4 linked regions of the Anolis sagrei genome follow. The protein of the gene in region 1 binds, or shares a complex with, the protein of each later gene. Links are inferred from orthologs where the notes say so. Each region holds a gene or a part of one and is shown in the gene's direction. Other genes may lie near its edges. The genes, in order: PIGC, PIGA, PIGP and PIGH.

Evidence for each region.
Region 2: PIGC (region 1) and PIGA share a complex: the UniProt entries of both Homo sapiens proteins name them as parts of the glycosylphosphatidylinositol-N-acetylglucosaminyltransferase (GPI-GnT) complex. The link is inferred for Anolis sagrei from reciprocal best matches to the Homo sapiens genes PIGC and PIGA.
Region 3: PIGC (region 1) and PIGP share a complex: the UniProt entries of both Homo sapiens proteins name them as parts of the glycosylphosphatidylinositol-N-acetylglucosaminyltransferase (GPI-GnT) complex. The link is inferred for Anolis sagrei from reciprocal best matches to the Homo sapiens genes PIGC and PIGP.
Region 4: PIGC (region 1) and PIGH share a complex: the UniProt entries of both Homo sapiens proteins name them as parts of the glycosylphosphatidylinositol-N-acetylglucosaminyltransferase (GPI-GnT) complex. The link is inferred for Anolis sagrei from reciprocal best matches to the Homo sapiens genes PIGC and PIGH.

The regions. Positions count from the first base shown.
Region 1 is NC_090024.1:131,145,943-131,153,631, forward strand, and holds the start of PIGC (phosphatidylinositol N-acetylglucosaminyltransferase subunit C), read left to right. Parts: upstream 1-4,677; 5' UTR 4,678-4,763; intron 4,764-5,918; exon of another isoform or gene 5,919-6,293; intron 6,294-6,458; 5' UTR 6,459-6,560; intron 6,561-7,023; 5' UTR 7,024-7,140; coding exon 7,141-7,689. Other genes in the region: dimethylaniline monooxygenase [N-oxide-forming] 2-like, read left to right, coding at 182-551. UniProt on the Homo sapiens protein: Part of the glycosylphosphatidylinositol-N-acetylglucosaminyltransferase (GPI-GnT) complex that catalyzes the transfer of N-acetylglucosamine from UDP-N-acetylglucosamine to phosphatidylinositol and participates in the first step of GPI biosynthesis.
Region 2 is NC_090026.1:63,179,787-63,187,144, reverse strand, and holds the start of PIGA (phosphatidylinositol N-acetylglucosaminyltransferase subunit A), read left to right. Parts: upstream 1-4,356; 5' UTR 4,357-4,498; intron 4,499-6,627; 5' UTR 6,628-6,690; coding exon 6,691-7,358. Other genes in the region: CHST14 (carbohydrate sulfotransferase 14), read right to left, coding at 1-1,027. UniProt on the Homo sapiens protein: Catalytic subunit of the glycosylphosphatidylinositol-N-acetylglucosaminyltransferase (GPI-GnT) complex that catalyzes the transfer of N-acetylglucosamine from UDP-N-acetylglucosamine to phosphatidylinositol and participates in the first step of GPI biosynthesis.
Region 3 is NC_090023.1:71,911,279-71,918,820, reverse strand, and holds the start of PIGP (phosphatidylinositol N-acetylglucosaminyltransferase subunit P), read left to right. Parts: upstream 1-4,541; 5' UTR 4,542-4,679; intron 4,680-7,542. UniProt on the Homo sapiens protein: Part of the glycosylphosphatidylinositol-N-acetylglucosaminyltransferase (GPI-GnT) complex that catalyzes the transfer of N-acetylglucosamine from UDP-N-acetylglucosamine to phosphatidylinositol and participates in the first step of GPI biosynthesis.
Region 4 is NC_090021.1:281,994,739-282,001,904, forward strand, and holds the start of PIGH (phosphatidylinositol N-acetylglucosaminyltransferase subunit H), read left to right. Parts: upstream 1-4,156; 5' UTR 4,157-4,208; coding exon 4,209-4,391; intron 4,392-6,604; coding exon 6,605-6,814; intron 6,815-7,166. Other genes in the region: ARG2 (arginase-2, mitochondrial), read right to left, coding at 498-617. UniProt on the Homo sapiens protein: Part of the glycosylphosphatidylinositol-N-acetylglucosaminyltransferase (GPI-GnT) complex that catalyzes the transfer of N-acetylglucosamine from UDP-N-acetylglucosamine to phosphatidylinositol and participates in the first step of GPI biosynthesis.

The DNA.
Region 1 (7,689 bases):
GAGGACCTCTGTCCTAAATCAACAGAGGGTGGGCTATTACTTTACTTTTTCCCAGCTCCTTCACATGTTCAGTAACAAATACCTGAATAATCCTGTGGAGGTCTGTGCTGAGCTTTATGACTAGAATATGATTGGGATTGCTTGAAAGCTTGATGGTGTTTCTATTTCTCTTCTACTACAGGGGATTTCCCATGGAAAAGGACAGTGCAAAGGCAAGCTTTGTTGCCTACATGGATGAAATTGCTGCTTGTATAGGGGTTAAGCCTAACTTGCTGTTGCTCTTCCTATTGGACCCCCAACTAGCCTTTAAAATTCTTTGTGGACCTTGCACTTCTTATCAATTCCGTCTGACTGGACCTGGGAAATGGGAACAAGCCAGAAGCACAATCCTGACAGAGTGGGACCGAGTTCTGAAGCCCTTGAAGACGACAGTCAACAATAGTTCCAAAGACTCCACAACTTTTTTCTGGTTTATGTTCCTTGGCTTTTCATTCCTTGGGGCTTCTTTGGTCATTTTAAAAACTCATCACATTCATGACTACCTAGGATGAGAGAGGTGCACTTTTCATATTACATGGATCTCTTGGTTTCATTGTACTGATTAGGTATATATCCAATACAATAAAACAAAAAGGAAATCAGACATTAAAAATATTTTAAACAAGAGGCATACAATCCTGCATAGCAGTCAAGCGTTCAGACTGAACAAAAATGTGACTTTCTTTCAAGTAAGTTGTGAAACAAGACTGGGAAACATACCATGATTTAAATTTTGCCCAATTATTACTAACCCCTTCAAAAAACACAAAATATACAACAGCAATTATATCCTTAAATAAAAGAGAATAAAATGTATCAAATATAGTCTTAAAATTGTTTTGTATTTTTGAAAAAATTGAGCACAGCAAACTTATAAAGTACAACATGTCCCTCTATTTCACATGGAAATTCTGTAAAGCAGTGGTGTCCACACTTTTTAAACTGAGGGCCAGTTCACAGTCTGATGGGGGGTGGGCAGACTATCTATATATATATAAATGTTCTGTGCATAATGAGTACCTTAAAAACAATGAACGAAATCACACCAAATTTGGCAACAAAATGTCACACAACACAAGGAGTGACCATCATTCAAAAAAATATGATTTTGTCGTTTGGGAGTTGTAGTTGCTGGGATTTATAGTTCACCTACAATCAAAGAGCATTCTGAACTCCATCAACAATGGAATTGAACCAAACTTGGCACACCGAACTCCCATGACCAACAGAAAATACTGGAAGGGTTTGGTGGGCATTGAACTTGAGTTTGGGAGTTGTAGTTCACCTACATCCAGAGAGCACTGTTGACTCACACAATGATGAATCTGGATTGAACTTGGCACAGATATTCAATATGCCCAAATATGAACACAGATGGAGTTTGGGGGGAATAGACCATGACATTTAGGAGTTGTAGTTGCTGGGATTTATAGTTCACCTACAATCAAAGAGCATTCTGAACCTCACGAACGAGAGAATTGGGGCAAACATCCCACACTGAACCCCCATGACCAACAGAAAATACTTCAGGCCACCCAGTCAAACTCCCTTTACCAGGGGAAGAAAAAGTAATCAAAGCCCTCCTGACAAAGAGCCATCCAGCCATAGATATATATGATTCACACACAGAGAGATATAGTATCAGATTTGAAAGGGACCCCTAAAGAAGGACAATTATATGTTGCCTATTCCAAAGTAGGCAAACCAGACCATCTCCACATCAGCACTGACAAAGAAACAATATATACTGCTTACCCACACGCACAAATACATTACATATATTAGAAATCAACACCTTCTCATTATTTTCCAAATCACCAGACTGGGCCACAGCAACGCGTGGCAGGGGACGGCTAGTCTATATTTAAAAAATGTAATGTTTGTTTGTGGGATTAACATAACTCAAAAACCACTGGACGAATTGACACCAAATTTGGACACAATACACCTATCAGCCCAACAAGTGATTATGACTCATAAAAACACTGAAAAACACAGGGAAGAGACTTAAAAAGCCCAAAAATTAAAAAAAAAACCCATTACAACGCATGCACAAAACCACACACACACAAACACACACACACACACACACAAATATATACACACACATATATGAGTATATGTGCTGGTACAACTGTACCAGGAGCTCCAATTTTGTTTGCTTTGTACTGAATGTCTGTTGCAGTCCTAAGTTTCAGAGACTCTGCAGATAGGTGGCTTCTTTTGGCTGCAATCATAGGGCAAGCCACCTGTCAATTATAGTTAGGTTCCCTGGTCCCGCCCCCTTTTTGGGTTTTTGGAGGGAATAGGAGCCTTTTTGGGTCAGTACACACAGAGAAGCTTTCCATACAGGACATAAAACCAAGAACTCCTGTAGAAAGCTTCGTCTTCTACAGCTTGGCCAAGGAGAAAAGGCCCCATAGCTTGGCTGAGGATTTTGCAGCCTTACAGCTCTTTTGCTGAAGGACTTCAGCCAGCCATCACTGAAACCTGAACTCCTTCTTTTCCCCTGGAAGTCTACAAAGCTCTGCTTGGTAAGGGTCGCTCGCGGAAGCCAGACGCAGTTGGTACCGGGTGTAGGGGCTCCACACCAACAGAGGCAAAGACAGACTGCCCAGATTAGAAGTTAAGGATTTCCCCATTAGTTAGTATACAGTTATGAAGATAGTGCCTGTTCCCAGTGAACAAGATTGCAAGAGCCAATAGACTGTTAAGAAAGCTTTAAAATATTATTAAACTTTATTTGTACCCCGCTAACATCTCCCGAAGGACTCGATGCGGCTTACAAAGGCCAAGGCCTCAACACACAATACAACAATGCAAAACCTAAGCAAATTAAAAACAATTAAAGCAAACTAAACAACAGCAATGAACAATCCACTAAGACACAATAAAACTGGGCCGGGCCAGAGTAAGGGTACAAGGGTTAAAAGTGCTGATGTGACAGGTGGAATATGAGGCTTATGGGCAAGTGCAGTGTGCGGTGTGCAACGGTTTTAACTTTAATAAAGTGCTTATGGGACTTGGAGGTTTCCTATTCGGGGAAGGCACATCGGAACAGCCAGGTCTTCAAGTTCTTTCTGAAGACTGCCAATGTAGGGGCCTGTCTAAGATCTTTCGGGAGGGTGTTCCAGAGTCGGGGGGCCACCACGGAAAAGGCCCTGTTTCGTGTCCCTACCAAACACGCTTGCGACGCAGGTGGAATCATGAGCAGGGCCTCTCCAGATGAACGAAGAGAGCGTGTGGGTTCGTAGACGGAGATGCGATCACGCAGGTAGGCTGGTCCCAAACCGTTCAGGGCTTTGTAGGTAAGCACCTGCACCTTAAACTGGGCTCGGTAGATAAATGGCAGCCAGTGGAGCTCCTTGAACAGCCTGTTTGTTTTCATTAATAAAGATTGCTCACCGGAGCGACATACAGGGAGCATACCACCCCCCTGCTGTGCCAGCTCCACTGGCTGCTGATTCAGTTCCGAGCACAATTCAAGGTGCTGGTTTTGACCTACAAAACCCTATACGGTTCTGGTCCAGTGTATCTGTCCGAACGTATCTCCCTCTACGTCCCACCCCGGAGTCTGAGATCATCTGGGGAGGCCCTGCTCTCGACCCCACCACTGTCACAAGTGAGGCTGGTGGGGACGAAAAGCAGGGCCTTCTCAGTGGTGGCCCCTCACCTGTGGAACTCACTCCCGGGGGAAATTAGGGCATCATCATCCCTCCTCGCCTTCAGGAGGAGGGTGAAGACTTGGTTATGGGACCAGGCCTTTGGGCACTCTGGCAATTAAATCAGACAATCAGGCGAGTAAGACCAGCAGGATTGTTGAAGTGGAATGTAAAACTAGATCTATGAGTTAACGAACGCTGACCATGTAAGAGGAGAAATTGGGTTTGTATTTGGTTTTATTGATTTTATTGATTTTATGGTTATAGTGCATAAATTGTTGTCAACTGTGAATTGATGTAATTTTGTGTATGGTTGTTTTATGATGCAGGCATCGAATTGTGCCTTTGCTTTTGTAAGCCGCCCTGAGTCCCCTTCGGGGTGAGAAGGGCGGGGTAAAAGAACCCCAAATAAATAAACTTTGTTGAACTTTTAAGCAATCTAAAGACTTTGTTTTAAGGAAATCCAAGGACCTTTAATCTGAGGCAGCCCCGGCGTCCCATTGGGCACACAGAATTTATGTCCTGTCTACAGTCTGATGCACAGGCCCAGCGTGCGACAGCACAGTATATGCACACACAAAACACATATATAAAGACTGGGCCACAGCAATGTGTGCCAGGAGACGGCTAGTATAATATATAAACATTTCTTGGGGCTCCATGAGAAACCTTTCCTTTAAAAGGGGATGAAGAAGTTTGAGAAACTCTGAACTAGAGCATGGATCCACTTTAAATGCTATGGCCGCCTCCTTCCTGCAGAATTCTGGGGTTTGTAGTTTAGTGAGGCCCAGCACCTGCCTGGCTGAGCGGCTTAAAGGCCCCTCCCTAAACTACAAGCCCCAGAATTCAGCGGGACGGAGGCAGACACAGGATTTAAAGAGACAGATGCTCTGTGGATGAGGTCCAATGTACGTGAAGGGAAAAGGGACCCAACCTGAGGCGTCTCTTACTTGGAACGGCAGTGGGCGCAAGTCACCAACGAGGAAGAAGGGGAGGAAAAGGGACGGCCCAGATCCCCGCCTTCCTCTCTTCTGTGGGCCGCCTCTGTCAGTTGAGAGGAAGGTAAGGCCAGGGCCCTTCCAGCCCTTCCAGCAGTGGGATTATTAACAGGAAGCTCTGGAGGGGGAAAGGGGATGTGTCGCCCCCTCAGCCCTTGACTGACGTAGAGACGGGGCTCGTGCCGGGAGGACGTAGGGCGCGATGCGTGAGAGGAGGAGGTGCGCGCGCAGAAGGCTCGCGCGCGCACTAGGCCCTCTGAGACAGTGCCTCACAAAAGCGCGGGAATGAGGGGAGGGGGCTTCTTAATGTGAAGAGGAAGCGGGCCTGCAGCCTGATCGCCCTTAGCGAGGGCCTCATGATCAGAGTTATATTTTGAATGAATGTATTTTGACACATTTGCTTTTTGCTGTGCAATTATGGGAGTTGTAGGAGTACTAAATAATAATAATAATAATAATAATAATAATAATAATAATAACGCTATGAAATACGACTCGCTGGAACACCTCAGCAAGCGAGAGTCCAAAAGTGGCAGGCTCAAACCCAGAACCTCAACCAATGGCTAATACCAAATGAGAGACTTCCCCCTGGGCACACAGAGGACTGGGCGACTTGGAAGGCGCTGAACAGACTGCGCTCTGGCAACACAAGATGCAGAGCCAACCTTCAGAAATGGGGCTACAAAGTGGAATCCTCGATATGCGTATGTGGAGAGGAGCAAACCACTAACTACCTGCTGCAATGCAACCTGAGCCCAGCCACATGCACAATGGAGGACCTTCTTGCAGCAACACCGGAAGCACTCCAAGTGGCCAGATTCTGGTCAAAGGACATTTAATCAACTACCAAACTCACAAATGTTGTACTTTGTCTGTTTGTTTGTTTGCTTTGTTCTGTTAGAAATGTAATATAATTAACTGGTTGCCCTGACATGACAAATAAATAAATAAATGTTACTGGGTTACAATCAAGTGCCAGTTAATACCCCCCAAACAAAAGATGCCTCCAGGCTAACAACAGCCAGGCTGCCTCTCACTGATTGACTTTGCAGCTGCTCAGTGCTAATTAACCTTGTTATTTATTTATTTATTTCGTATCAAAAGCATTGCATAAATTAGTATAGAACCAATAAAAATAGAAGGAGCGCAGACAGCTAAATATCTTTTGACCAAAAACGGGCAACAGGAATGGCATTGTCTGTAGCCTCCAACAATTCTTCCTCTGTAAATGAGGCAGGGCATTGTGGGCAAGCACACAGGTGCGGAGTTGTCTGTTCTGCTCCACAGTCACACAAGGTGTGGGATTCTTTTAGGTAGTGCCATTTTGCCATGTTGTCTTTTGATCTGCCCACTCCACTTCTGAGTCTGTTTAGGGGCTTCCAAGTTGCCCATTCTTGGAGGAAAACAATGCCTCCACAGCTCAGTGAGGCTGTCCATAAGAATACTATGGTCAATGCTATCAAAAGCCAGTAGAATCCACAGGAACACATTATGGCTAGGTCTCTCTGTAGGTCATCTACAAAAGTGGCCAAACCAGGCCTGAAACAAGATGAAATGGATCCAGCAGCTAATCATGGTGCTCAGGAAGGAAAATGTAAGAACAAGATAGAAAATGTGAAAACAATTGTGTTCTCTTGCTTGCACACTTCCTTGCTGTTCTTTGAAGAGAGTTGTAAGCGCCAAGGGAAAAAGCCTTCATGGGCTTCCGTGGAAAAGTTCCCTTATCTCATATTCTTTTACATCTTCTGCTTTTTTGCAGGGTAGCAAAAAGGGAATTAATTCCTGCTCACAATTGGATTGCCTTGCCTCATCAGTAGACTCTTTTTTTTTTTCAGCAGTGACAAGGCCTTCAGTTCTGGAGGTAAGTAATAATAATAATAATAATAAATAAATAAATAAATTAATTAATTAATAAACATTATTTATACCCTGCCACCATCTCCCCAAGGGGACTCGGAGTGGCTTACATGAGGCCAAGCCCAACAATACAGCAATGCAAATAAACAACATACAACGACAATAAAATATAAAAAATAAAAATATAAAATGCAAAAAAACCTAATATAAATAAGCACATCAAGCAATGTAAAATCACAATAATTTAAACACAGAAAATAAAAAAGGAAATAAGTACACCTCCTTTGATTTGACCAATCAATCTGGTATCACCCAGGGTACTGACTTTTCCATTTTCTGAACCATGTTTTCCATTAGCTAATTGAATTTTTCATTTTTATTGGTAGTGATGATATGTGAATAAGGGGACTGCCTACTTGTATCTGGATTTTGGAAAACTTGGTTTAATTATGTTGTCTTGCTTTTAGATTTCAGCTAAAAATCTGGAAAATCATCAAGAAATATCGATACAGGTTTCATCTTCTGTGACATAATACGGTATTCCAGTGCAAGTGGATCTTGAAGGCAGTAATTTAGCCAGATGCATGCTGCGACTCCAGATGGCACAGAACAGAAGACAATGCTGGCAGAAAGTGTTATACAAGAGGCAGCCATTTCCTGATAACTATGTGGACCGAAGCTTTCTAGAGAAGCTACGCAAAAATGTCCATGCACGTAAATACCAGTACTGGGCAGTGGTATTTGAATCTGGACTGGTGATCCAGCAGCTGTGCAGTGTGTGTGTCTTTGTTGTCATCTGGTGGTACATGGATGTGGGACTGCTAGCTCCCCAGTGGTTGTTTGGAGCTGGATTGATCTCTTCACTAATCGGCTATGTCCTCTTTGATGCCGTTGAATCAGGAATAGGAAAAAGTCAGAGTGACCAGTCACAGTGGGCTGATCTGAAGAATGCTGTGGTATTTGTGGCTTTCACCTATGGCTTCTCTCCAGTACTGAAGACTTTAACAGAGTCCATCAGCACAGATACAATTTACGCTATGTCTGCCCTTATGCTGCTAGGACACTTGATCTTTTATGACTATGGAGCCAATGCTGCGATTGTGTCCAGTACACTATCTCTCAATATGGCCATC
Region 2 (7,358 bases), on another chromosome or scaffold:
CGGCATCTTCCTTCAGTCTTTCGTAGGATCCGATAAAGTCGTACCTCACCGCGCAGGGCTGGCACAAGTTGTAAATGGGCATCCAGTGCTCGTTCATCCTCTCCGGCTCCTCGTCCAAGAGGAAGCGGAGGAATTCGGAAAAGGTGACGTCGTCCCCGGCGGTCTTCCCGGGGTTTTTCCGGTACCTTTTGACGATCTCCACGCCGTACTTGAGCTGGTATTCCTTGATCTCTCCGAATTTGTTCCTGTAGGCGGAGAGCAGGCGCTCCATGGGGTCCCGCACGAAGAGGAACTTGAAGTAGTGCTTGAGGCGGTAGCGGATCTCGTCGGGCTTGAGGTCGCCCAGGAAGACCAGGTCCCGCCGGTGGTCCATCTTGAGCTTGACCTCCACGCTCTCCAGGGCGCCGCCCAAGACCTTCAGGATGCGCTTCCAGTTGGAGCAGGCCACCTTGGGCACGTAGCAGTAGAGGAAGCGGTGCTTGTCGCTGACCAGGATGTGCTTGAGGAGGGTCTTCCTCTGCCCCGCGGGAAGGTCCCAGGCGCTGCCGGGCATGCTCTTCTGCCCGCAGACGGCGCGCAGGGTCCGGTTGCGGGTGTCCCGCAGCACCGCCTCGCCCTCCTCCTCGCCCTCTGCCGCCGGGGCCCTCCGCCAGGACACTTCACCCCGCGAGGGAGGCAGCGGAAGGGGCTTCACCGCAGACAGGATGCCCTTCTCGATCATCAGGAGCAGGCCGCTGGAGGCCACGATCACGCCGAACATCAGCATGGAAGGAAGGAGCATCAGGCCGGCGCCGCGGGAGCGGGTCCCTCGGGCGCAGGAGGCCGGCCGGCGGGCGGAAGCAGGCCCCATCGCCACTGCCCCGGCTTCCCGCAGGCGGCACGGCCCTTCTCGGATGCCAGAAGGACCACTTCTCCTTTCCCTGTCCCGCCTCTTCCAAGAAGCCACGCCCCCTGCTCTCCCCGCGCATGCGTTGTGGAAAACTGACAGGACTTGCCTCTCCTCATCACTTTGAGAGGAAAAGAGCATAGGCCACTGCTCGGCCCCTCTGAAGAAGCCACGCCCCCTGCTCTCTCCGCGCATGCGTTGTGCAAAACTGACAGGAGTTGCTCCTCCTCATCACTTTGAGAGGGGAAGAGCATGGGTCACTGCTCGGCCTCTCTTAAGAAGCCACGCCCCCTGCTCTCCCTGCGCATGCGTTGTGGAAAACTGACAGGACTTGCCTCTCCTCATCACACTCAGAGGGGAAAAGCATGGCCACTGCCCCCTGCTCTCCCCGCGCATGCGTTATGGAAAACTGACAGGACTTGCCCCTCCTCATCACTTTGAGAGGAAAAGAGCATAGGCCACTGCTCGGCCCCTCTGAAGAAGCCACGCCCCCTGCTCTCTCCGCGCATGCGTTGTGCAAAACTGACAGGAGTTGCTCCTCATCACTTTGAGAGGGGAAGAGCATGGGTCACTGCTCGGCCTCTCTTAAGAAGCCACGCCCCCTGCTCTCCCTGCGCATGCGTTGTGGAAAACTGACAGGACTTGCCTCTCCTCATCACACTCAGAGGGGAAAAGCATGGGCCACTGCCCCCTGCTCTCCCCGCGCATGCGTTATGGAAAACTGACAGGACTTGCCCCTCCTCATCACTTTGAGACGGGAAGAGCATAGGCCACTGCTCGGCCCCTCTTAAGAAGCCACGCCCCCTGCTCTCCCCGCGCATGCGTTGTGGAAAACTAACAGGACTTGCCCCTCCTCATCACTTTGAGAGGGGAAGAGCATGGGCCACTGCCCGGCTACTCCTAAGAAACCACGCCCCCTGCTCTCCTTGCGCATGCGTTGTGGAAAACTGAAAGGACATGCCCCTCATCACTTCGAGAGGGGAAGAGCATGGGCCACTGCTCGGCCCCTCTGAAGAAGCCACGCCCCCTGCTCTCCCCGCGCATGCGTTGTGGAAAACTGACAGGACTTGCTCCTCCTCATCACTTTGAGAGGGGAAGAGCATGGGCCACTGCCCGGCCCCTCTCAAGAAAACACGCGCAGGCGCTGTGGAAACCTGGCAGGAGTTGCTCCGCCTTATCACATATATTTATTTATCGTGTCATCAGCAACCATACCATTGTATTACATTTCTAACAGAGCAAAACAAACACACAGATTAAAAAAAAAAAACCAAAAACACAGATTTTGCAAACTTGGTAGTTGGTTAAATGTCCTTTGACTAGTATCTGGCCACTTGGAGTGCCTCTGGTGTTGCCGCAAGAAGGTCCTCCATTGTGCTTTTGGCAGGGCTCAGGGTGCATTGCAGCAGGTGGTCAGTGGTTTGTTCTTCTCCGCACTCGCATGCCGTGGATTCCACTTTGTAGCCCCATTTCTTAAGATTGGCTCTGCATCTCGTGGTGCCAGAGCGCAGTCTGTTCAGCGCCTTCCAAGTTGCCCAGTCTTCTGAGTGCCCTGGGGGGAGTCTCTCATCTGGTATCACGCATGGATTGAGGTGCCGGGTTTGGGCCTGACACTTTTGAACTCTCGCTTGCTGAGGTGTTCCAGCAAGTGTCTCTGTAGATCTAAGAAAACTATGTCTTGATTTAAGTCGTTGACGTGCTGGCTGATACCCAAACAAGAGATGAGCTGGAGATGTTTCTGCCTTGGTCTTTTCACTATAGGCTGCTACTTCCCGGCGGATGTCAGGTGGTGCAATACCACCTAAGCAGTGTAATTTCTCCAGCGGTGTGGGGTGCAGACACCCTGTGATAATGCAGCATGTCTTATCACACTGAGAGGGGAAGAGCATGGGCCACTGCCCCACCCCTCCAAAGAAGCCACGCCCCCTGCTCTCCCCTCGCATGCGTTGTGGAAAACTGTCAGGACTTGCCCCTCCTCATCACTTTGAGATCCCCAACCCATCTAAAACACAATGTGCCTTTCATCTCAAGAACAGAGAAGCATCCCGAGCTCTGAAGATCACCTGGGAAGGAATCCCACTGGAGCATTGCAGCGCACACAAATACCTGGGAGTCACTCTGGACCGTACTCTTACCTACAAAAAGCACTGCCTGAACATCAAGCAAAAAGTGGGTGCTAGAAAAAATATCATACGAAAGCTGACTGGCACAACCTGGGGATCACGAGCAGATACAGTGAAGACATCTGCCCTTGCGCTGTGCTACTCTGCTGAGTACGCATGCCCAGTGTGGAACACATCTCACCACGCTAAAACAGTGGACACGCCGCATTATCACGGGGTGCCTGCGCCCTACACCGCTGGAGAAATTACACTGTTTAGCCTGACAGGAAGTAGCAGCCAATAATGAAAGGACCAAGGCAGAGACATCTCCAGCTCACCCCCTGTTTGGGTATCAGCCAGCATGTCAACGACTTAAATCAAAAAATAGTTTTCTAACATCTACAGAGACACTTGCTGGAACACCTCAGCAAGCAAGAGTCCAATAGTGGCAGGCTCTATCCCAGAACCTCAACCAATGGCTGAAACCAAATGAGAGACTTCCCCCTGGGCACACAGAGGACTGGGCGACTTGGAAGGCGCTGAACAGACTGCGCTCTGGCACCACGAGATGCAGAGCCAACCTTCAGAAATGGGGCTACAAAGTGGAATCCTCGACATGCGAATGTGGAGAGGAGCAAACCCCAGACCACCTACTGCAATGCAACCTGAGTCCTGCCACATGCACAATGGAGGACCTTCTTTCAGCAACACCAGAGGCACTCCAAGTGGCCAGATACTGGTCAAAGGACATTTAATCAACTACCAAACTCACAAATTTTGTATGTTTGTTTGCTTTGTACTGTTAGAAATGTAATATAATTGACTGGTTGCCCTGACACGACAAATAAATAAATAAATCACTTTGAGAGGGGAAGAGCCCGGCCCCACCCAAGAAGCCACGCCCCCTGCTCTCCCCGCGCAGGCGCTCTGGAAACCTGGCAGCAGTTTCCCCGCCTCATCACACTGAGAGGTAAAAAGTATGGGCTACTGTTCCTTTAAGGGAGAGAATCGTCTCTTAAAGGGACAGAATCGCCCCCTTTGGAGTTCTGCCTCCCCATCAGACTCACAGAGCTGGCAATACATTCATCTTACATTCAGAATTCAAAACGATTTTAACAGATTAGAGCAGTGCTTCTCAACAGTATTTATACATGGCTATCATGTCTCCTCTCAGCCGTCTCTTCTTCTGGCTAAACATGCCCAGCTCTTTAAGCCGCTCCTCATGACTTGAAAGCACACAACAACAACAGTCCTATCTCATCAGCCAAAAGCAGGCCCACACTTCCCATTGAGATACTAATAAGTTTATTATATTTGTTAAAATTGTTCCCTTCGAAGACCCTGCCTGAATTTAGCCCAATCGGATTGGCTCTTCTCCGGTCACGTGCTCTGCCTGGTTGGGTTATTATACACCCGGAAATCTTCGCGGGGCCGAGTGGGCGGGGCTAAGGTGACGAAAGACGACTCCCGCCCGGAGTGAACCCGGAAGTGGGACAGACTCCGCCGGCAGGTGAGTGAGGGACCGCGTGGGGCGTAGCAGAGGGAGAAGTCCCTGAGTTTCCTTTTGGGTTTACTAGTGAAACACTCCAGTAAGAATCAGAACAGGATGTGTGCTTTCTCAGTATGATTTTCTACTGGAAAAAAGCAGCTCAATGCACAGTTTCTTGTCTTTGAACTGCATTAAATGATCAGTGTAGATGGGCCCTAAGATGACCCAATTCTTTATCATCTTTATATAAAGTACTTCTTTCCTGTAAGCAAAGAGATCCCTCATATTGTGCTGTTTGAGCTTGATTTTGTGTTAGCATTGCCCTGTGGTGTTTTTTGTTTGACAGCCAGAGCCCTTCCACACAGCCATATAACCCAGAATATCGAGGCAGAAAATCCCACAATATCTGCTTTGAACTGGGTTATCTGAGTCCACACTGCCATATATCCCAGTTCAAAGCAGATAATGTGGGATTTTATTCAGTTGTGTGGAAGGGGCTCAAGTTAGGGAGGAATGAACATGTCACATAATTATCTGTGGGAGAGAATGTATTATCCTTTTTTAATATCAATTCAATTTATTTTGGGTTGTTGTAGGTTTTTCCGGGCCATGTTCTGGAGGCAATTTTTCTCCTGACGTTTCGCCTGCATCTATGGCAAGCATCCTCAGAGGTACTGAGGATGCTTGCCATAGATGCAGGCGAAACGTCAGGAGAAAAATTGCCTCCAGAACATGGCCATATAGCCCGGAAAAACCTACAACAACCCTCAGGAGCAAATTGAGAATACAGTTATCTATATAAATGAGGAGCCCCCGGTGGCGCAGTGGGTTATAGCCCTGAGCTTGTCGACCGAAAGGTTGCAGGTTCGAATTTGGGGAGCGGCATAAGCTTACACTGTCAGCCCCAGCTTCTGCCAACCTAGCAGTTCGAAAACGCTAGAAACAATATCATACGAAAGCTGAATGGCACAACCTGGGGATCATAACCGGACACAGTGAAGACATCTGCTCTTGCGCTATGCTACTCTGCTGCTGAGTATGCATGCCCAGCGTGGAACACATCTCACCACGCCAAAACAGTGGATGTGGCTCTTAATGAGACATGCCGCATTGTCATGGGGTGTCTGCGCCCTACACCACTGAAGAAAGGACACTGCTTAGCCGGTATTGCACCACCTGACATCCACCGGGAAGTAGCAACTAATAGTGAAAGGACCAAGGCAGTGACATCTCCAGCCCACCCCTTTGTGTATCAGCCAGCACGTCAACGACTTAAATCAAGAAATAGTTTTCTAAGATCTACAGAGACACTCGCTGACCAGTAGCTGGCCACTTGGAGTGCCTCTACTTGGAGTGCCGCTACTTCCTGGTGGATGTCAGGTGGTGCAATACCAGCTAAACAGTGTAATTTCTCCAGTGGTGTAGGACACTGACACCTCGTAATAATGCGGCATGTTTCATTAAGAGCCACACCCACCGTTTTAGCGTGGTGAGATGTGTTCCACACTGGGCATGCATACTCAGCAGCAGAGTAGCACAGCGCAAGGGCAGATGTCTTCACTGTGTCTGGTTGTGATCCCCAGGTTGTGCCAGTCAGCTTTTTTATTATATTGTTTCTAGCACCCACTTTTTGCTTGATATTCAGGCAGTGCTTCTTGTAGGTCAGAGCACAGTCCAGGGTGACTCCCAGGTATTTGGGTGTGCTGCAATGCTCCAGTGGGATTCCTTCCCAGGTAATCCTCAGAGCTCGAGATGCTTGTCTGTTCTTAAGGTAAAAAGCACATGTCTGTGTTTTAGATGGATTAAGGATCAGCTGGTATTCCCTGTAATAGGCAGTATAGTAATAATTAGAACCCAGTTGGAACTCTAAAGCAAGACTAAAAATTGTTTTTGTATTGTCAATTTGTATTGAAACCATTTTCGTTACATATACTTCAGATAACCCCCAATAATTGTAATGGGCCTTCTGTATGTATGACTGAATCTAACCCACTCACTAGAGGTAAAATCAACTCTTGAACAGGGTGTTGTATACTTCTGAATAAGCATGCATAGGCTTGTACAGCTAAATGTTGTAATTTTACCTAAAGATACCTGCAGGGGTTTTGAGTTTTATGATGTAATACGTTTTGCTCTGTTTGCTGTCATAGGTAATGAATGGGGCCTGTTCTTCATACTGAATGGCTGTCACGTAGGTGGATTGCTTATCTAATATGGCCAGTAGAAGGAGAGGAAATCACAGACAGTTTCTCTCCTCCACACCCTCTCCCACTGTGAACTCTCATAAGCCTTCAACACACCCGTGTCAAAGCCATAGTATATGCATGGTGTCGGACTTTTTTTATCCGAATATGGGAGGAGTAGAAAGCCACATCTACCAACTGTCACAGTGCCTGATTGAAAGAGGACACAAAGTGATCATAGTCACCCATGCTTACGAAGACCGGAAAGGCATTCGATACCTCACAAATGGATTGAAAGTCTACTATTTGCCATTAAGAGTTATGTACAACCAGTCTACAGCAACAACTCTATTCCACAGCTTGCCTTTGCTCAGGTATATATTTGTCCGGGAAAGAGTCACCATCATCCATGCCCATAGTTCCTTTTCCGCTATGGCTCACGATGCACTCTTCCATGCCAAGACAATGCAGCTACGGACGGTTTTCACAGACCATTCTCTTTTTGGATTTGCTGATGTCAGTTCAGTGCTCACAAATAAACTCTTGACTGTATCGCTGTGTGATACAAATCACATAATATGTGTTTCGTACACTAGCAAGGAGAACACTGTGTTGAGAGCGGCACTGAATCCTGAGATAGTCTCCGTTATCCCTAATGCTGTTGACCCTACTGACTTCACTCCAGATGCATCTAGATG
Region 3 (7,542 bases), on another chromosome or scaffold:
TGGAGCATGAAGCCTTGCAGATTGCACTTCTGCTCTGAATCCAACTCAAATTTCAGCTCAAGCTTCTGTTTCAGTTCCTGTGATGGAAAAAGTTTGGTCCTAGTTAATACACTTTATTTATTTGCTGGATTTGTATACCACCTTTCTCAGCCCTGTCATTATCATTGCAACAAAATTCTAGAAATAATTTGCTAAATAAGGACTTACAAACTCCAGTGTAATAAAGAGAGAGATCAATATTGCCTAACAAAGAAATACAGACACTTGGGTGGTTAGCACTTGACTATGCATAAAATAACATATGGATGGGCAAGCTAATATTTTACTGTTATGTGAAGTCCCTCCTTTTTTCTAGCTAGGCTTTAGGAAAAGAATTTCTTTTATTTTTGAAATTATTAAAATTAATTAAAAACATTTAATATTAAAAATAGTTTGAACAAACTAATTGTGCAATGAAGTAATACATTAGGTGATATTTGCATAGTGATTCACACTGGAAGTAAACCTTATTTCACATATGCAGCATCTGTATTGAATCTGAACTAATAGTAACAAGCTAAGAAAGAGATCCCAGAGTTGTGGTAAATTAAACCTTCATTAAAATATCAATTCATTGTGAAGGAAATGCAAAGAAGAGAAGTTATCTGCTAGAAAAGATGTGTCTGATCATTACAAATTCTGGTCTTCCTGTCTTTTTTCAGTTCTTTTATGGGACTGAACACTTTATGTCTTCTTGACATTATGGAGACAAAATAGTTTTCTTTGTTTTACTAATGTTGATAGTTTGCTACATTTGTGTTATGTTATAACAAAATATGTTATAAAAAGATAAATCAGTGTGTAACTGTATTATTTGATTTTAATAGAATAAGTACAGTATTGTAATTTATATTTTAAAAACTATAATTGTAGCACATTATGCATACAATATAGTTTATGTTCTTAAAGTAACAAAATAATTTTAGTCATAAATAATAGTGCATATGTATGTGTCTTCAAGCTGGCTATCAACTGATAATGACTCAATTAATTTCATTGGGCTTTCTTTAGGCAGGGAATACACAGAGGTGGTTTGCCAGTTTCTTTTTCTGAGGCACAGCCTATGTCACCTGGTATTCATTGGCGATCTCCTATACAATACGAAAAATGGATGCCCTGCTGAGCTTCAAAGATTATACAGTATCTTGTGTCTTTAGGATATTTGATAGCATCATTTTCCCCCAATTTGTCTGGACATTTCTCTTTAAAATGGAGAAAAAAAATGTTCCTAATTTCCTTAAAATGTCCATACATTGTACATCTGTACTACAAGATCCCAGTATCCCCAGCATTGTGCTTCTTGCTCCCAAATTCACCAGCTGGAATGGCAAAGTCTGAAGGATGTTCCTCAATGATACCTTGCTACGTTTGTTGGAAGTATTTAGTTGGCTACAGACAGAAACAGAATGCTGTAGGTTCATAGATCTCTTGTTTAATTCAACAATATGTTCTTGCTGGACTTCATAGACCTCTGGTTTAATCTAATGGGCTGTAATACACCAGACTCTTTTTTCCCTTTTAGAGTTGAATTTCAAATTAATATTGTGAACATGGTTATCTGTCTATAAGTACAAAGCTTTTGTGACCACGTATAATATTTTCTATATTTTATTTCCTCATTCATTCATTCATTCATTCATTTCTTTAATCATTCAAACCCCACCTTATCCTGTAAATCATTCTTATCATGGGAGCACAACCCAAATAAATTCAGGAATGAGGAATGAAACAATATGACCTACCTAACCGAAAAAAGCTTAACCAAATTAAGAGAAAGGAGGGGGAAATCAAAAGGTAAGGGAAACACATCAGATTTCATGATCGGTGCATGGACCAGTATGTATGCAATTCCTCTTTTGCAAATGAAGCTGTATTCGTGTACATCTAGTTTCAGAATATGCATGATGGGGGAAACCTAGCCATTTCCAGCCAAGGCAGAACCAGTTTTACATCTGGAAGTACAAGCAGTAACACATACACTTGCCTAAGTAGTAACATCATTGGGAATCACAAACAAAACATATACCTGTTCAACTGGAAAAAAATTAATTCTACCAGAGTTGCCAATCAAAATAAAGGCTCTCATACTTTGGCTTTGTAGAAGAGAGAATTTAACCAAGTGCTAAAAATTCCCTATTCTGTACAACTATTAAAGAGACACCTTGCGACTCTGCTAGCACCTTATTTGCTGTATTAAAGTCTCAGAGTCAAATTTTAATTTCTTAGTGTTTTCCATATCAAACTTCACCATAAATACTTAAAATTATTATGGATATCATTTGTAAAAATTGCAACACTTTTGTTTTTGTTAAATATAGATAGGTTCTTTACTATACAATTTTCTGAAGAGACAAGAAAGCAACACTATCATACCATTTTCTGAAATATCCTTGATATTTACAGTCACATTTGGCAAGAGAATACTCCTGCAACTAATTCAATCAAGAATAGATTGAATCAGTGTTCTTCAGTGTTTTAAATCCAACATTCCAATTAACATTTGCAAGTATCAATGTGTCTTTTCCTGGTGATAGCTTACCTTCGCTTTGCCATATTTGGTTAATAAAATGAGTTGGAATGTTATTTGTGGGTTCAAGTTGTTTTGTTTTATTTTTGTCTATCATGAAGTACTCTAAAAAGATGTGGTTGCTATTACCTCAGTCCCCAAATCCAGCCAATCAGAAGACAAGGACTGTAAATAACTGCTCAGCCACATACCTTGGATTACAGGGCCATTTATATACGCTTAAACATAGCTATAGGGGACAAGTGTGAATACAATTTTTAAGTTGTAAATAGAATGATCAGTCACAATCAATGGTTATTTCTTTTCATTTGCTCACCTTTCCAGATTTATTTGCACAAAACCTTATCAACTGTTTTTTTTAATGTTATATCTAACATTCCACTGTTGATGTCTGAAAATCCTGCTGTATAGACAACATTATTATTGAATAATCAAGTGAACAAATTATGACTGATTTATCTATTTTAGATAAAATATTGTATACCAGAATGATTTTTTAATAATATTCTCTTCTCCCCTTTACTGACCTTTTGACATTCTCCTTCTCCGGTACATAGACCACCATTTCTTTCTTCTACTCTTCAGATCCTGCTACTATACCTCTCACCCTTCTTTCCCTCCATCTGTCACTTTCCTTTCCAATCCCACCTCTCTTTATTTTAACGCACCCCTCCTTTTTTGTACGGTGACACTACAACCACTCACCCTTCCATCACTTCTACTTGCTTAGCCTTATTCCTTTGTGGTATGCCTCTTGCTTGTTTCTCATGCACCGCTACATGCTCTCTTAACTCTCTACTCCCTCATCTTGCCTCATGTCCAAAGGTGTGACCTCTGCTTTTTTTTGTGCAGCACCGCTAACATCTCTTACTCTTGTTTTTCTCACCTAAGCGGACTTGTTTCCTGCAGAACAAATTGACAGAACATTTCTGTTTTGCTGCGTATCTTGGCTTCTACAAGGACTAGAGACTTAACCATGCTGTAAATTAGTTTTGTTTCATTGTCTTTAACTGTTATCTTAAGAGTTATGGTGATCCTATGAGAGAGATTTCCAAGGTCTCCAGTCATCAGTTGCTCTGCTCAGATTTTACAAATTTAGGGCTGTGGTTTTCTAGATTGAATCAATCCACTTGTATCCACTTTTCCACTTTACCAATGCCATGTTGTCTCATGATATGACCAAATTACTACAGCCTGTTTAGTTATCCTTGCTCCTAGTGAAGCAAATATTCGTCTGTACAACTTTTCTCCAGAACCTCAGTTCAAATTAGTTGTTTTCCTGTCTGCTTTCTTTGTTGTCTAGCTTTCACAATCATATTACTTACTTAGGCGATCCCTCGTTGGACGAGTAAGATGGTCTTCCATCATGGGTTTCCCTGTGGGTCCGCATGTGGCTGTGGAGCCCTATTCTTGCTCTGCATCTTCTTCCGCAGTGAGGGCATTGGTTTCCAGGTGGAAGGCGGTCCCGGTCGGGGTTGGCTTGACGCGCCTTCCTCCTGGCACGTTTCTCTCTTTCACCCTCCACTCGTGCCTCCTCGAATTCTGCAGCACTGCTGGTCACAGCTGACCTCCAGCTGGAGCGCTCAAGGGCCAGGGCCTCCCAGTTCTCAGTGTCTATGCCAGAGTTTTTAAGGTTGGCTTTGAGCCCATCTTTAAATCTCTTTTCCTGTCCACCAACATTCCGTTTTCCGTTCTTGAGTTCGGAGTAGAGCAACTGCTTTGGGAGACGGTGGTCAGGCATCCGGACAACGTGGCCTGTCCAGCGGAGTTGATGTTGGAGGACCATTGCTTCAATGCTGGTGGTCTTTGCTTCCTCCAGCACGCTGACGTTTGTCCGCTTGTCTTCCCAGGAGATTTGCAGGATTTTCCGGAGGCAGCGCTGATGGAATCGTTCCAGGAGCTGCATGTGACGTCTGTAGACAGTCCACGTCTCACAGGCATAGAGCAGGGTTGGGAGGACAATAGCTTTATAGACAAGCACCTTAGTATCCCTACGGATGTCCCGGTCCTCAAACACTCTCTGCTTCATACGGGAAAATGCTGCACTTGCAGAGCTCAGGCGGTGTTGTATTTCGGCGTCGATGTTGACTTTGGTGGAGAGGTGGCTGCCAAGGTAGCGGAAATGGTCGACATTTTCTAATGTTACACCATTAAGCTGTATCTCTGGCATTGGAGAGGAGGCGGCTGGTGACTGCTGGAACAGCACTTTGGTTTTCTCGATGTTCAGTGACAGGCCAAGCTTTGTGTATGCTTCTGCAAAGGTGTTGAGAGTGGCTTGTAGATCTTCTTCTGTATGCGCACAGACGACATTGTCATCAGCATACTGGAGTTCTATAACAGATGTTGTTGTGACCTTGGTTTTGGCTTTCAGTCTGCTGAGGTTAAATAGCTTGCCGTCTGTCCGATAGATGATTTCCACTCCGGTGGGAAGCTTCCCATCAACAAGGTGTAGTATCATGGCGATGAAGATGGAGAATAAAGTTGGGGCAATAACACATCCCTGTTTGACACCCGATTCCACCTTAAATGGGTCACTTTGGGAGCCATTGCTATCTAAGACTGTTGCCATCATGTCATCGTGGAGGAGCCGCAGGATGTTCACAAATTTGCTTGGGCACCCGATTTTTTGGAGGATGGTCCAGAGAGCGCTGCGATTCACTGTGTCGAATGCCTTTGCAAGGTCGATGAATGCCATGTACAGAGGTTGGTTTTGTTCCCTGCATTTTTCTTGGAGCTGTCGTGCAGTGAAGATCATGTCCACAGTTCCTCTGGAGGGGCGGAAGCCGTTCTGGGATTCTGGGAGGGTGTCTTCTGAGAGGGGCAGAAGGCGGTTTGCAAGGATTCTTGCGAGGATTTTTCCAGCAGAGGTTAGAAGGGAGATACCTCGATAGTTTCCGCAGTCTGTTCTTTCCCCTTTTTTGAAGAGGGTGATGATGGTGGCATCCTTGAAGTCTGCTGGGATTTTCTCGGTCACCCACACTTTTTCTATGAGCTGGTGGAGTTGGTGTGTCAGCGCAGGTCCTCCCTCTTTAAAGATTTCAGCAGGGATCCCATCCGGTCCGCTGGCTTTGTTGTTTTTTTGTTGGCTGATGGCATTGCTGACTTCTTCCAAACTAGGCAGTGCTGCAAGCTCATCCCTGGTTTGTTGTTGCGGGATTTGTGAGAGGACCTCTTCGGCCACACTGGAGCTGCGGTTTAGGAGGCTTTGGTAGTGTTCTTTCCAACGTAGTGCAATTGACTTTTGGTCCTTCAGGAGTTTGGTTCCGTCTGATGAGCGTAGAGGCTGTATGCCATGGTTTCTTGGCCCATAGATGACCTTTGTGGCTTTGAAAAATCCTTGAGCATTATGGGTATCTGCCAGGTGTTGGATTTCTTCAGCCTTCTTTGTCCACCAGATGTTCTTGAGTTCTCTTGTCCTTCTTTGGACCTCAGCTTTTGCACTGGCGTAGATCTTTTTCTTAGCAGCACAGTTGATGTCTCTCTGCCATGTTTGGAAGGCTTTCCTTTTCTTGTCGATTAGCTGTTGGATCTCGATGTCATTTTCGTCAAACCAGTCTTGATGTTTCTTGGCTTGGTATCCAATAGTTTCTTCGCAGGCTTGGATGATGGAGGTCTTCAGTTTGTTCCAATGTTCCTCAACATTTTCGGGGTGTACTGTGGGTAGATGGTCCTTGAGTGCAGTTTGGAGATGGGCTCGCCTGGAGGGCTCTTGAAGGGCTTGGGTGTTCATTTTGCGCCTTGTCTTTCTTCCTTGGAGTCTGCGCTTGGGGGCGATCTTGATAGCCATCGTGGATCGGATTAGCCTGTGGTCGGTCCAGCAGTCGTCAGCACCTGTCATGCCATTCGAGTTGCTGTTTCCAACCCCGTCTTTTCCTATGGTGCCTGGCCACAGGTCGAAGTCTCGCCCGACTCTTGCATTGAAGTCCCCCAGGAGAATGATTTTGTCCTCCTTAGGTATCCCCGATAGGACAGTGTCCAGCTGATAGTAGAATTTCTCCTTGATGTCTTCATCAGCGTCTAGTGTTGGTGCATAGGCACTTATGATGGTTGCCCGTTGGTTTTTGGCAAGATCAATTCGGAGGGTGGAGAGTCGTTCGTTGATGCCAGTGGGTGCTTCGGACAGATGTTTCATCAGATCATTTCTTATAGCGAAGCCAACTCCGTGCATTCTTTGGTCTTCTTCAGGCAGTCCCTTCCAGAAGAAGGTATAGCCTCCTTTTTCTTCCTTCAGCTGTCCCTCTCCTGCTCTCCGGGTCTCCTGAAGGGCTGCTATGTCGATGTTGAAGCGTCCCAGCTCCCTTGCGATGATGGCAGTTCTGCGTTCGGGGCGTTCACTGTCACTGTTGTCCATCAGTGTCCGTACGTTCCACGTACCGAAGTTCATTTTTCTTTTTTGGCCGCAGGATGGTGACCCCACTGGACGCGGCAGTCCAGTCAGGGATAAGTGAGGCAGACTATGTTTAGGGCACCTTTTCTAGCCCCCTCCCCGTGTGGGGTGAGCAGAGTGGGTCCTCAATAGGGCTGCTCAGTCGCGGATACAGCTGCCGAACTACTCAACTGCCTCGGACCTTGAGGTAGAACGACTGAGTCCGTACCCACCGCCCATGTGCCAGTCTGTGACTAGGGGCTTCCAGATTTCACAGTCCTGCCCCCGTCGCCACTCGCTGATCGCCATGGGACTTTGGTTGGTTTGTTTTTATTTTCTTTGGAAGACGCCTGTGCGTGGGTTTTTTAATGTGTGGAGGTCAGTGCACAACTGAACAACACACAGTCTTCACAGATGAGGTTCCACTGGTGATGTAGTTTAACACAATGACCATGGCTTCTCAGTCTGTTGCAGCCTTCTTCCGCCTTCGCAGCCGTTGTAACATGTGCCATGTTATCCTCCGCCTGCTCCGCCGTTGAGGTCTAATTTCATATACAGAAATTAGAAATACTATGGTCTGGATTATTCTAACTTTTGTATTAAATTATAT
Region 4 (7,166 bases), on another chromosome or scaffold:
TGATTACCATTTAATGGCCTAGCAGTTTCAAGGTCTGGCTTCTTAGTGCCTGGGGGAAAACCTCAATTGGCCACCTTGACTACCATTTAATGACCTAACAGTTTCGAGGCCTGGCTTCTTACTGCCGAGGCAAATGTGAATATTTCAATTGGCCGTCATAATTACCATGTAATGGCCTAACAGTTTCGAGGTCTGGCTTCTTACTGCCTGGGGGGAAACCTCAATTGGCCACCTTGGTTACCATTTAATGGCCAAACAGTTTCAAGGTCTAGCTTCTTACTGCCGAGGCAAGTGTGAATATTGCAGTTGGCCACCTTGATTACCATTTAATGGCCTAGCAGTTTCAAGGTCTGGCTTCTTACTGCCTGGGGTAAAACCTTGTTGGGAGGTGATTAGCTGGCCCTGATTGTTTCTTGTCTGGAAAGCCTCAATCCCTTTCCTTTTCCCGCTCAGCCTGCCCAGCCCTTTCTCCTCCTCTTCTCCCCTGCTTGGCTTACCTGGCCCCGGGAGAAAGGGGCTCCAATCAGGGCCACCGAGTGCGCCGGTCTCTTCTGGACCCTCAACGTGGATCCCGCCCGCTGCCTGAGGAGCCGGCCGAAGCTGCTGCGTAGCGACATAGCGGCAAAACGAGAGGGAAAAAAAGGAAGACAAGATCACGCGCCGCCTAATCAAAGAGTACCGGCACCGCTACCCACGCCAGTCTTTTATATCCACTGCGGCGCCCCGCCCACCGCGAGGCCACGCCCCCTTCCTCGGATTCCTCCCCCGCCCCCTTGGTCGTGGGCCCAGGCCTTTAATCTCCCGCGAGCCAATCAGCGCCGAGCTGGCCGGAGGTGTGCGCCCGAGCCCCCTTCGAAGCCGGCGCGCGCCAGGAAGGGAACGTGCCCGGAGAGTGTTGGCTGGCTTCCCTCTTTGGCTTTGTTTTCCTTTTCTCTCTCTCTCTCTATCCTCCGGTTCTCAGCGTTAGCCATCCATCCATCCCGCCGGATTAAAGTTTAAGATTAAAATGGGCAGCTTCTGCTTTTCCACCCGAGTTGCATCTATCTACACCAGGTATGGGCAAGCTTGGGCGCTCCAGGTGCTTTGGACTTCAACTCCCACAATTCCTCACAGCCTCAGGCCCTTTCCTTTCCCCCCTCAGCCGCTTAAGCGGCTGAGGGGGGAAACCTCCTAAGGCTGTGAGGAATTGTGGGAGTTGAAGTCCAAAGCACCTGGAGCGCCCAAGCTTGCCCATACCTGATCTACATTGCAGAATACAGTTGAGAAACCATTTGCCTCACAGCTTTTCCGCGGCGGAAAGTAAAGAGGAAAGGAACCGAGCGGCGCGGACCATGTTTCAGGGGAGGAAAGACCACCCCCTCCCCTTCGCGCGGCTTGGGGGCCCACAGGCGGACCGAAGGGAGGACCACATGCCCCCGCCTCGCAACATTCGCGGCGGGTTTGAGTCACAGAGAAAGCACTCCCAGAATTCCAGGCTCATCCCTGGGAAGGAAGCCCCACTGACTCCATTGCAGGCGGGGAGAGAGGGCAATTACTGTTGGACTACAACTCCCATCACTCTCTGTGCTGGCCAGGAAGGTTAGGAAAGATATTCCAGCAACAGTGTCCACAAGCCTTGAGGCCAGAGGTGCATTTAGAGCAGGCATGGGCAAACTTAGGTGTTTTGGACTTCAACTCACACAATTCCTAACAGCCTCAGGCTTTAGAGACTGAGGAGGAAAAGGAGGGGGGCTGAGGCTGTTAGGAACTGTGGGAGATGAAGACCAAAACACCTGGAGGGCCCAAATTTGCTCATGCATGCTCTATAGTATGCTTAAGCAGCCGATGGGGGAAAGGAAAGGGCCTGAGGGACCAAGTTTGCCTGTTACATAGATTTAACATATGGTAGGTGAGTGAGACTTTCTAGTCCAGTCCCAGATAAACCCCACACCGAATGGAAAATTCCTTTTCAAGTCAGGAAAAACACTGCCATGGCTGTAATTAGGGAGATGGCGCTGTGCTTTAAGCACAGGACTTTGAGTCTGGAGGCCATGTTTTGGCCATAAAAACACATTGTAATACAGGTATCCAAAACAAAGAAACTACAAACCTCACAACCTCTGTGGATGCTTGCCATAGATGCAGCAAAACATCAGGAGAGAATGCTTCTAGAACATGGCCATATAGTCCGAAAAACCTACAACAACCCAAATAAATTTTGTCATGTTGGTTGCTGATTGGTCTAGGTCAATGCCAGCTAGGATCTCCACATTGATATGTGCACAGTCCATTGTCACTGTTGGTAGGTTTGCAGGGGTGGCATGAAATTTAATAAAATGCTGTAGCTTGATTTGAAGTCTAGTGGCTGTTTCTAGGTCAGTTCATGGAGGGATACAGGAGGAAAGAAATGCGATCTGGGTTGGAGTTGTCCCAACCACTTCAGTGCTGTCCCAACCACTTCAAGTAAATCTGTTGTTTAATGTTAGGGATTCCTCATCTTCAGAAGAGGAAGGGGGGCAGGGAAATGCTCAGGAATTGGACGGGGAAGAGGAATCAGACGATGAGGGTTTGGGTTTGCAAGTGCCCACATTTCTGGAGAGGTGAAAGGAAACCGAGCACAGACAGTATTCAGCTATAATAGCTGCTAGAAATGCTGAGGTAATTCGAAGCCACCCCAGCAACTCCTGCATGGGGAATTCAGGGCTATAAATCAGAAGCAGGAGCAGTTAGCTTTAGCTGGTAATGACTTTGATGCTGATGTTTTCGCTCCAATTGTACCTCCTTTGTGTCTGCTTCTAAGGATTTAGTGATCATTGGCTGTGTTCTGATGTAACTACTGTTTATTTTGGACCTTATTAGAGACTTTAGTTTTGTGTCTGCATTGAAACTTTCTTGCTTTCTTTTACATTTTTCAACCACATTTGCTGTTATTTTTGTGTTTGCTGAAGTAAAGCATTTTTCTTTTACTTTCAACATTGTATTAAGGCTGTTCTTGAGGGCAAATCAGGACATTTAAGTATTTAATAAGATACATGGAAAGAAATAAATGTTGGCTCCCCCACCGCCACCACTAACTTGGTATATAAAAATCACTGTTCTCCCAACCAACAGCTGCGTAGGGATTTTATTTTATTTTTTATTTATACTTCACTTGTATACCGCTCTTCTCAGCCAACGGTGACTCAGAGCGGTTAACAGCCAGTATCAACAATACAGTACAAAATCATTAGTCATTTAAAACAGTAATATCAATTAGTTAACATCAGGACATCAATACAACAATACAGGAAAACAACAATCCATCACGTCTCATCAATAGAATCAGCATCCGGATGATTCTATTAGGATGATCCTAATCACATTAGCAATAGATTTAGGAAAGCTGTAGAAATAATGCATAATGTTTGATACCACTTTAACTGCCACACATGGCTCAATGCAAAGGAGTCTTGGGAGTTGTAGTTTTACAAGGCCTTCAGCCTTCTCTGCCAAAAAGCTCTGAGGCCTCACCAAACTATAGGTCCCAGAATCCTGTAGCACTGAGCCATGGCAGTTAAAGTGGTGCCAAACTGAATTAATTCTGCAACGTAGATGCGCCTTTAGTCAACAACCGAGAAGGTAACTCTCATTCGGTTATGCAAAGGGTCATGGGGAAGCTTGGTGCAGTGGTTTTAGTGTTAGACAGAACATGGGGGTTCTGTGTGAGAGGTTTGGCCCAATTCTATCGTTAGTGGGGTTCAAAATGCTCTGTGATGGTAGGTGAACTATAAATCCCAGCAACTACAACTCCCAAATGACAAAATCAAATTTTTTTGAGTGAAGGACATACAGTGGGTTGTTAGGTGTCTTGTGTCCAAATCTGGTGTCAATTCGTCCTATGGTTTTTGAGTTCTGTTAACCCCACAAATGAACATTACATTTTTATTTATATAGATTGAGACTCTGGGGACTCCCAGCTCGACACTTCCAGCGTCAGAAAATCTCGTGGTAGATTCGTTTTAGAGTCGCCATTAATCGAAAACACAAACGAGGGAGTGTGTGTTTTGCAGTCGCCGGACAGGAGAAATGGGAAAGAGGCTGGAGGGGGGGGAGGCTTTCCAGCACAAGAGACAGCTCCTTCCGGAGGAGGGCGGGGCTTCCCGAACGTCGCGCAACCGGAAGCTGGAGCAGAAGCCGCTCTAGGCGCCTCGGAGGCCCGCGCTCGTCGCTCCCTCCATCGCCGCTGGGAAATGGCGGAGGAAGAGCGCAGCTTCCTGACTGTCTCCGGGCAGCGCATCACGTTGCAGCGCCGCCAGCACAGCGCCGCCTGCCGGGAGTTCCAGGTGCGCTGCCCGCGGCTCCAGCTGCGCTCCCTCAGCGCCGCCACGTGCTCCGTGTGGCTCGCGGCCTACGGGCTCTTCGTCCTCACCGAGGTAACGCCCCCCCTCCCAATACACAACTGTTATCCGAGAAGCCACGCCCACTCCCTGCTCTCCCTTAGGCCTAGGGGCGGGGCGAACCTGAGGGCGTCTCCCAATTGGTTAAGGACCCCCCTCAGTAAGTAGACAGGCAGCCCTTCTCTACTTCAATCCCCCCCCCCCCCGGTTTCATATGGTTTAGCCCACTCCTCTTGCTCTGCCTGCTGTATCAGAATCTTCCATTGAATTCAAGGGGTGGGGGTATTTATTCTTGAGTACCTTCACATTGTTTGTGACTTATGGCGACCCTGTTGTAGGGGCAATGGACTGTGTTATCTGAGGCTGAGTGTGTGTGACTCATCCAGTGAGTTTCTATGGTCAGATGAGGAAACAAAACCCTGGTCTTCAGAGTCATAACCCAGTGCTCAAACCACTCTGCCATACCTTCCTCAAGGTGCTTGTTTATAAAGCTATACTCTTCCCAACCCTGCTATACACCTGTGAAACGTGGACTATCTACAGAAGTCACATGCAACTCCTAGAATGATTCCATCAGCAATGCCTCAGAAAAATCTTGCAAATCTCTTGGGAAGACAAGTGGACAAATGTCAACATGCTGGAAGAAGCAAAGACCATCAGCATTGAAGCAATGGTCCTCCGCCATCAACTTAGCTGAACCGGCCACGTTGTCCGGATGCCCGACCACCTTCTCCCAAAGCAGTTGCTCTACTCCGAACTCAAGAACAGAAAACGGAATGTTGGTGGGCAGGAAAAGAGATTTAAAGATGGGCTCAAAGCCAACCTTAAAAACTCCAGCATAGACACTGAGAACTGGGAAGCCCTGGCCCTTAAGCGCTCCAGCTGGAGGTCACTGTGACCAGCAGTGCTGCAGAATTTGAAGAGGCACGAATGGAGGGCGAAAGAGAGAAATGTGCCAAGAGGAAGGCGTGTCAAGCCAACCCCAACCGGGACCGCCTTCCACCTGGAAACCAATGCCCTCACTGCAGGTGAACATGCAGATCAAGAATAGGGCTCCACAGTCACCTACTGACCCACCGCCAGTACACTGATCTTGGAAGACAATCCAAGAAGATCACCTAAGAAGATCAGACCTTCCTCCTACTTTCCATCAAATTCAATGAGCCTGACTTTCAAAGACCTGTGCAAGTCTGAAAATAATAGGATGTATTGGGGTGCATCTACACACTTGAATTAATGTGGGTTAACACTACTTTAAGTGCCATGGCTTACTGCTATGGAGTCGTGGGAGCTGCAGTTTTACAAGGACTTTGGGCTTCTTTGCCAAAGTTTGTGTGTTCCCCAAACTACAACTTCCTTGATTCCATAGCCTTGAACCCTGGCTTTATTGTTCATTTGTTCAGTCGTTTCCTACTCTTCGTAACTTCATGGACCAGTCCACGCCAGAGCTCCCTGTCGGCCGTCACCACCCCCAGCTCCTTCAGAGTCAAGCCAGTCACGTCAAGGATACCACCCATCCATCTTGGTCAGCCCCTCTTCCTTTTTCCTTCCATTTTCCCCAGCATCATTGTCTTCTTTAAGCTTTCCTGTCTCCTCATGATGTGGCCAAAGTTGAACCCTGGCAGTTTATATTAATTTTACTATATATAGATGCATTATTGGACATCTTTCATTCACAGGATTACTATATGAGGAAGCTGATGTGATGACAGTTAACAATAGCAATGAATATAAGAGTAAAATAAAACAGTGTGGGCCAAATGTACGACATAAAGTGATAAAACACTAGATGAGATAAGAACGAAAAAGGTATATATGAAAGGGAGGAACTCGTAGGGGATGGAACAGTGGAGACAGGCCTTCCGAAAGATGGGGGTAAGTGCAATATGAGGACAGCATTATGGAATAAAACAACCGGAAGTATATGGTAATAATATCTTCTATTCCATTCCCACAGCTGTATAAATACGCTTTATACTTGAAGCCTTGATATCAGTCTGTACTGCATCTGAAGAAGTTCATGCTAAAATAAAAACTAGTCTTAAAGGTGCCACGTTCTCCTCCCCCCTTCTTTCTTTCTTTATAATTTGAATCCATGGTTACAAGCTTGCACAGCCTGCCTTTCATTTTGAAGATTGTCATATAATGTGTTGCCAGGCGTACGAGTCAAATGGATAGAAACACAACTGGCTTCTGTTTGGTCAATTGCTAAATGTAGTTGTAAGTCACCTGCTTGTTTTCTCTTTCAGAACAGTGTAGTCCTCTCTGCTGCCATATTTGTCACACTGATCGGCCTGCTTGTCTACTTGCACTTCGTGAAGATCGACCAGGAGTCCCTGCTGATCATTGGCTCCCTTGGGATACAGATGACATCATCTTATGCGTCCGGCAAAGAGAGTACGGCGTTTATAGAAATGAGCCAGATAAAAGATGTGGTCATCAACGAAGCCATCTATATGGTAAGCATTATCTATTTATTAATTACCGTATATACTTGAGCATAAGCCAAGTTTTCAGACATTTTTAGGGCTGAACACCCCCCCCCCCCGGCTTATACTTGAGTGAGGGTCCTGGTTGGCTTATATTCGGGTTGGCTTAAACTCGATTATATAGGTAATCAGAGTTGGACAGTCTTATCTTAAATTACAGTTTTAATATTCAAAAATATTTAACCCTAACTGATGCCTCAATTAATGTAATTTTATTGGTATCTATTTTTATTTTTATGTTTTAAATTTAGCAGTAACTGCTGCATTTCCCACCCTCGTCTTATACTTGAGTCAATATGTTTTCCCAGTTTTTTGTGTTAAA